2 linked regions of the Mus musculus genome follow. The protein of the gene in region 2 interacts with the protein of the main gene of each other region in a biochemical or structural test. Links are inferred from orthologs where the notes say so. Each region holds a gene or a part of one and is shown on either strand. Other genes may lie near its edges.

Region 1 (4,219 bases), on a different chromosome or scaffold from region 2:
GATGTGACAGCTGGTGTGCCTTACAAGCCCCAAATTCCAGATTCAACTGAAGCTGATGTGGGAAAAAAAAAAACAAAAAAACAAAAAAACAAAAAACCAAACCTGCAAATGACCACATATCTTCCCTCACAGGAATCAGGCTATGTTAATGTCACACCAGCTTCGAAGGAGAACCTACACTGGAGAACAACTTTTGGGAGTGAGACTGAGCCTACTAGAGGTAGATGGAATGACTGACGGTGCACATTTCCCTGTTGTGAACAGTCATTACTCAATCTCTTGTCTGTTCCTTTACATATTTAGTCTGCTTAACTTTTCTTTCCACTTGCCTCAGCCTTTCACTAACTCCAGAGAATAATAGAGGCTATCTCAGATTTAATGCAAGCATTTTGACCTTGTTGGATAATCTCTTGCAAACTGAATAGAAATGTCCCTGAGATTACTGAAGCTGGAACCCCTCTTATTACAAGTTCGGGGTTCCTGGTCCATTTATCTGTGTCTCAGAAAATGGCTCTGGGAAAGAGTAGGGTGGGGTGGGCTGGCTTCAAAGTAAGGATCTTTGGTGGAATAATTATGGGACGTATTTGTCCTGCATGTGACTGACAGACTTTGCAGCCACACAGGGACATAGATGAAGGTCCTGAGGGCCTGCCTGCCTTGGAACTTGGCATGGGTTTCGTTTTCCAACAAGACTTTTCATAGTGTGACTTTGCTTGCTAGATTTAGCACTCTGTGTTGCCTAATGACTGACTAACTGAGAGACATTCGGAAATCTCAGTTGGAAATGGAGCAAGCTTCACAGACTCCACCGCGGTCAGTGGAGGAGGAGCAAAGTTTTCATTTTAGCACGGGACAATGGAAGAGAAGAGGAAAACAGTCGTGGAGGTGTCCAAGAAGACAACTGGGTGAGACGTGACAGGAAGACGAAGAGAATTCATTAAAGCTCTAGATCCAGCAAGGGTCTTCCTTGTAGGAAGTTTACTCATATTCCAGATTTTAAAACCAGACTGAGTTTGCATAAAGCATAATCAGAGCAGGAGGTGGTGGAGATGGGGCCCCAACACTACGAAAGAACCTTTCACAGACGTCATGCGTTCTTTGCTTTGGAACCCTAGAATCTACAAGAACATCCACCCCCATCCACTAGCTTTCATGGCTGGCCCGGTGCTCTCCTTAACTCACAAGCTACTCTAAAACCCCTCAATCGCTGCCCCTTTGCAGACCAACATCTGCCCCGCAGAATCAACTCTCCGCGTAGGCTCTATCTCGGGTGCTGTCTGTTCCCGGGGATGCGCGGCCCTCTCCCAACCTGAGCCGCCTCCTCCCATCTCTGCTGCTGTTGCTGCCGCCGCGAAAACCAGAAGTGGAATTCGCGTGGCGAGGCGCCGCGCTCTCTCGGCGGCACTGGGCATGCTCCGCACCCGGGGCAGGTTTCGGTGGTGGGGCGGACGCTCGCTCGCTCACTAGCCAAGCGCCGGAGCCGGCCGCCGCGGCTGAGCCGGAGGCTGAGCTGCGGCGCGCGGCGGGAGGAGCCTCGCTCTCGGCGGCGGCGGCGGCGGCGGCGACACAGGTGGCGCGGGCGGCGCGCAGGGCGCAGCTCGAGAGCGCTCGGCGCCGGGCGCCAGGGCGGCCCAGGCTCGCGCCCGCGGCGGCAACCGGCCGAGCGGAGCGGCGGGCGCGGCGGCTCGGTAGCCCGGCCCGAGCCCGGGGAGCCCCGCGGAACCCTGAGCATCCCGCGGCGCCCGCCGAGTCGGGCAGGGGGCGCTACGCTCGCCGCGCTCGGAGGGGCGGCCGGGCCGGGCGCTGCGCACTCGCGTCGGGAGCCGCCTCTCGCCTGCCGCGCTCGCCCCTGCTCCCCGCCAGCATCACTTGTCCCGCGGCCGCGCTCCGACAACAAAAGCGGAGGATGCTGCAGCTGGGCAAGGTCAGGACCTTGCTCTGAAGCCGGGCGGCGGCGCGCACGCCTTTCCCCCGACTGAGGAGCTGTCTTTGGCGGCGGGTGCATGTTCGCCAGGAAGCAGTCGGGCGCCGCGCCGTTCGGTGAGTTGCCTTAGCTGAGCTGCTGGAGCCGGGCGCATCCTCCGGGCGTCGTCCTCTTGCTCACCGCCGGTGGGGGTTGGTCCTCCGCTTCCAGCGGGGCTAGGGGTGGCGGCGGGCGGCAGTGGGGTGCTGTCTGCCCCGGGGGAGGACCGCGATCCTACCGGCTCCCCTCTTGGAAGGCGGCTCTCCCCGCAACGGGGTCCGGGGTCAGTGTCTTTCTTGGAGCGGTTACCAAGTGGCTTCTCCGCGTGCTCCCCTCCCTGCCACCCCTCTACCTCGGAGGACGCGTATATAGGGCAACACCGACTGCTCCCCGCCACCCTCCAGAGCAACCCGGTTGCATTCATGACGTCCCTAATATACCGGAGAAGACGGGGTGGGGGCGGGGAAGACTTCCTTCCAGTCTTTTGCCCTTATGTTCAATGTCATTACGATGTTTGGCTAGAACAAAATGGAAAGACTTAGTCATATGCGTCCATGGCCGTTTCTTCAGTCTCCCGCTGCTCGCCAGACCCAGACCCCTTTGGTCTATATTTAGCGTTTCCGAGGAAGCATTTTCAGAGGGATTCACAGGCTTCCGGGGGCTTCTCTGTCCTGACAATAGATAGCGAGGCTCTGGAAAGCGCTGCCTGACAGCCAGGTTTGGCAAGGGTGCTTGTGCATGGGAGATAGGCGTAGCGATATTTGGGTGATTCGTAATTAATGGCTGAAAGCAAAGCTGCGTTTCGCTCCCCCCTTCCTCTTCTTCTTGTGTGTAATGTGTTTTCATCGATTGATACTCAGCATGTTGAGCCACTCTGTTCAGAGTAAAGTCTCTAGGAAGGAGGTGCAACCTCCTCGGTCGGAGGGTGGGGGTCGGAAAACAGACTTGGGGGCTTAGAGGGATGTGCATCTCTGTATTTTCCACAAGGAGCCACTTATTTCTCAAATACCCAAAGTTGCGTTTTCACTGTAAACACCGGGGTAATGAAGGGTGTGGAAGAAGAGGATAATAGAGGGGGAGGCTGTGCTTGCAAGGGGTTTGTATTTCCCTCATTTGAACTGATCTGCTGTGCTTCAACTCTGCAAGGCTGTATACGTATGCATGCCTAATGTTCTCTAAGAGATATGTTGGCTTAGAAAAGAGATATGTAATGAGCAAAAATCAGGCCCGATAAGCATGACGGACAGTTCACTTTTAGGAACTGTGTGACTGATATTTAAGACGCCGAGAATTTTCTGCATTGACTTCCATGAAAATGGGGAGGTGTTGCCCCTGCCCATGAGTTACCTCATTTTGCACACTTCCACTGGTGGTAGTTCAGTTGATGTGCCCGCTGGTGAGCATGTATCAACATAATTGGAAGGCTCCCCAGCCCCGCTACTAAAATCCAGTGGAAGATTGTTTGATATGACTCCTTTTGGATTGCCAACGTAGAACAGTGCATGATTTGGGGGATCTGATATATGGGAGGTATGGCCAATAGAGGCAAGAATCCTCGTGTATGGAATAGCTGCTTTCAACAGCCAGATGCCTCTTCCTTTAGTGATTCTCTGTGCCAAGCAGAATCCATTGTTAATGTTGAATAGTATCCGTACTGGTCTGTGGGTTACAAGGTCCAAAGCTTGAATGAAGATGGGCTATGCTTGGAATTAGTTGTTGGAATATAGAAGGACTGTAATTTTACTAATAACAAGCGAGCGTGGGAAAAGCACCGCCGGAGGCTACTCTGCTTGGCTTAAGGGAACGCTGCGATTCCTTTGCCAACACTGCTGTAGTTTCACCTTTATTCACATTCAGGCAACTTTACAGGAGCGCTTTGAGCACACTCTTGGAGCCCTTGCATTATATCAATGTAAAATTTCTTTCAGAAGCATGCCTTAGATGAAGGAGGTGTACTTTCCCCTTTCCTTTCCTTTCCTTTCCTTTCCTTTCCTTTCCTTTCCTTTCCTTTCCTTTCCTTTCCTTTCCTTTCCTTTCCTTTCCTTGAGTCTAGTGTTTCAGTTTTAACCATGATTCTTACAGACGAGTTGACAACACTGTGTGCCTGTGTGTGCCTCCAGAGAGCAGCTGCTGGGCGTGAGAAAAACTCCATGGCTTCTGCATGAGACTTTTATGCTATATTGTGGGTTGAAAATGATAGTACCTGACTGAATGGCAGTTTTAGCAAGTGCATGAGGTTGGTGCTCTAATGAAATT
Region 2 (3,567 bases):
GAGGATCGATTGAGCTCAGCCAAGGCCCAAGGAACATAGATCTTTGAAAGTAAAACCAAAACCAAACTTGATCAGATGGACACAGGCTGGGGGTCTGTCATGCAGTGAATGTCCAGGCTGAGCAAAGCCTGTGTTCCCATCTTCATGACAAGATAACTTTCCATTGTTACCTTTGGAGGACGCTAGGTTATCTAGAGGCCTACCATTTCTTCCTGGAAACGTAAGCAAGGGAGAGAATCAGTCATCCACTCGCTCTCCTCTGTGTAAGCTTATCACAGAGTAAGCTCAAGGTGCTGGGCAGCAGTTCTTGTGTGCACGCGTGTGTGGGTCTGTATGTCTTCTTACCGTTTTTGTTTTGAGATAAGGTCTCATTATGTAGCCCAGGCTAGCTTCAAAGTCCTCATGTAACCCACGCCGGCCTTCGGTTTACAGCAGTGGGATAGTAGGCTCGAACACAGCACTCAGCAGGTCCTTTCTAAAAAATCTTATTAATGATTGTACAACATTAACACTTGGCAGTCTCTTTGAGCATCAGCCTTAGACACCATCCTGAATGCCTGCAAGGACTACGGAAGGAGCCTGATAGAACACGTTGTATGGGCAGGCCAGCCTGATGACCTCAGAACCTGCCAGTTCAAGAAAGACAGGCAGACAGGCCCCCACTTCCCCTTTCCTTTTGAGACAGGGTCTTACTATGTAACCCGGGCTGGCCTGGAACTCAATGTGCTTCGGCTGCCCCAGTGGATCTGAAGTGTGGGTACCACACCCAGCAGACTTCACTGCATTCTTTGGGAGGCACAGGACTCCACCCTGGGTGAACATTTTCACGTTGAATCTGAGCCTACTGAGCCTCTAGAACAAATCTGGGAAAACAAAAACGGTGCTGAGCTGGGCACAGGCTAAGCAAGACCACAGGGAAACGAGCAGACTGCTAGCCCTCAAAGAATGTGGGAAAATACTTTAGACAAATGACCCAATTAAAACAAAACCAAAACCAAAACCAACCAACCAAACAAACAAAAAAACCCCAACCACCCAACCAACAAACAGAAACCAGGAATGACTGGGCAAAGGGAGAGGAATACTGTGGATTGAGAGACCCGAGAGACACTTTAATCAGAAGGCAGTCTGAAAGAGCATGATGCTAATATTCCCCTGTTGTCCCCATTCCTGCCATACTAAAGACATACGACCTTCAGATCCCTTTGATGTCATCTGTAAACTTCTGACCCCTGCTGCTGCGGGTTACCCACAAACCTTTTCGGCAGAATAACTCCTCTTTGGCTGAGCCTGGCTCTGGGCTCCCTCTGGAGAGGGTGGAAGGGTGGGTACCACCGTCAAAGCGTTTTCATCTCACCCTGTCTCCCCTCAGCATATTCTCAGCACCTGGACAATGAGATCAGTCATAGCAGCTACTTGGGCACCGACTACCCCACAGCCATGACCCCCACTTCCCCTCGGCGCTACTCCCCCGTGGCCAAGGACCTGCTAGGGGAGGAAGATATTCCCCGGGAACCAAGGCGGATCGTGATCCATCGGGGCTCCACCGGCCTGGGCTTCAACATTGTGGGCGGCGAGGACGGTGAAGGCATCTTCATCTCCTTCATCCTTGCTGGGGGTCCAGCTGACCTCAGTGGGGAGCTACGGAAGGGGGACCAGATCCTGTCGGTGAGAGAGGCCCGTGCAAGGGTCTGCACTGCCCACCAAAGAGAGTCCTGTGCTCTTGGGGAGGGGCTCAATGGGCTCAAGCCAGGTCCGGTTGGACCACTCCCTGACTCACTGAGTCCCAAATTGTCTTCCCATCCCAGGTGACAGTGTCTTCTCCCTTTCTAGGTCAATGGTGTTGACCTCCGCAATGCCAGTCATGAACAGGCTGCCATTGCCCTGAAGAACGCGGGTCAGACGGTCACGATCATCGCTCAGTATAAACCAGAAGGTACCACGCCTAAGCTTCCCTGTCTTGTTGGCTAAGGTGGTCCTCAGCATTGTCTTTAGCTGATGGACGGACAGGTGGTCTCAGTAGGGGTAGGGTGAGGTTTGGCGGGGTGTGGCATTAGGATGGGGCAGAGTTCCAGAACCTTCTTGTCCTTTCTCAGAGTATAGCCGATTCGAGGCCAAGATCCATGATCTTCGGGAACAGCTTATGAATAGTAGCCTGGGCTCAGGGACTGCATCTCTGCGAAGCAACCCCAAGCGGGGCTTCTATATCAGGTAAGAAGCGTCCTTGGCGTGGCTCTGGAGGCCTCCATGAACTCCTGCCCATCCCCCACACAGCTCCTTCCCTAAATCTTGCCCTTCTCCTCTCCCACCCAGACGTGAGTGACCCTTAGCCATGGGTTCATAGACTTGGCTGCACACACTGGTCTTCTGGAGTATATTATCTGGTTGAAATTTAGTGCCTGCCCCAAGTGTTTGAATTGCCTTCTAGGTCCCGGTCACACAAGCACTAACCAATGGCTCTCAATGGTAGGGCCTAAGGCCAGTGTGTGACACAGCAGGCGTCTCTAGCTCTCTCTCTCTCCCTCCCTCCTCTCCTCCCTCCCTCCCTCCCTCCCTCCCTCCCTCCCTCCCTCCCTCCCTCCCTCCCTCCCTCCCTCCCTTATCCCCTAGGCTGAGTTTGAACCCCTGTGCTTTAATAATCTTCCTGCCATAGATACAGGCACTTGTCACCATGCCCAGCTTTGGGATATTTTGAGTCTTCCTCCAGCTTGGCACCCTTGTGGGAAGCCTCTGCGGAAGGACTGCAGCTCCTCTGTGCCCGCCGCCTGTCTTTCTTACTTCTTGCCCTTCCTTCCATCTCTGTGCTAGGGATTGAATCCAGGGCTCCGTACATGTTAGGCAGGCACCAAAACCACCGTTGAAAATCCACCTCAGCTCACCTCCCGACTGCTCAGTAGCATTTTCTCCCTTCTCGGGGCCTCTTTTCTCATGAGTCCCCTTCCTGTCTCTTCACAAGGCGTTGAGGTCTCGTCCCTCCCCTTCCCTGTCTCTCCCCTCCATCTGCTTTCTTTGTTCAGGTGGCTGGTCTTATCTGCCCTCTGCTATACTGGTGTCCCTGAGAGCTGTGTGGCCTGGTGGGATGCCTTCTTGGAGGTTCCAACCATTCTGGATGTTGCCTTTAGGCCATCTCCATTGGGTTGTCCACAGGCTTGTCACAGCCAACATGTCTTAGACTCAGCTTGCTGTGTTTCTCCTGGATGCCTGTGTTATGTCTTAGGGACCCACACCTAAGCGCTCCCTCTCTGTGGGAGGCTAGCAGGTGCTGGGGGTCATTTAGTTCTCACTGCATGACTCGGGGGCTTTTCTCCCCAGCCCCACTGCTTTTCTCTGCACCTTTGTTCTTTCAGAAACTTCCCAGAGCTTTTTGTCCTTAGACAGGTCTGGGATTGCTTACCGTGTGTGTGTGTGTGTGTGTGTGTGTGTGTGTGTGTGTGTGTGTGTGTGTGTGTGGGTGTGTGGGTGTGTGGGTGTGTGGGTGTGCATGTGTGTGTGTGTGCCACCCGGGAGGTTCATACTTTGCTTGCAGATCCCGTGTGTGTGTGTGTGTGTGTGTGTGTGTGTGCCACC

Evidence for each region. The genes of interacting proteins can lie anywhere in the genome.
Region 1: the proteins of Dlg4 (region 2) and Ctnnd2 interact in a test that uses a peptide from one of them, tested with the Homo sapiens proteins (2 studies listed by IntAct, with this or other methods). The link is inferred for Mus musculus from reciprocal best matches to the Homo sapiens genes DLG4 and CTNND2.

What each region holds. Positions count from the first base shown.
Region 1 is NC_000081.6:30,171,124-30,175,342, forward strand, and holds the start of Ctnnd2 (catenin delta-2), read left to right. Parts: upstream 1-1,410; 5' UTR 1,411-2,003; coding exon 2,004-2,040; intron 2,041-2,046; exon of another isoform or gene 2,047-2,680; intron 2,681-4,219. UniProt on the Homo sapiens protein: Has a critical role in neuronal development, particularly in the formation and/or maintenance of dendritic spines and synapses. Involved in the regulation of Wnt signaling.
Region 2 is NC_000077.6:70,037,651-70,041,217, forward strand, and holds part of Dlg4 (disks large homolog 4 isoform 6 precursor), read left to right. Parts: intron 1-1,372; coding exon 1,373-1,668; intron 1,669-1,833; coding exon 1,834-1,936; intron 1,937-2,096; coding exon 2,097-2,211; intron 2,212-3,567. UniProt on the Homo sapiens protein: Postsynaptic scaffolding protein that plays a critical role in synaptogenesis and synaptic plasticity by providing a platform for the postsynaptic clustering of crucial synaptic proteins.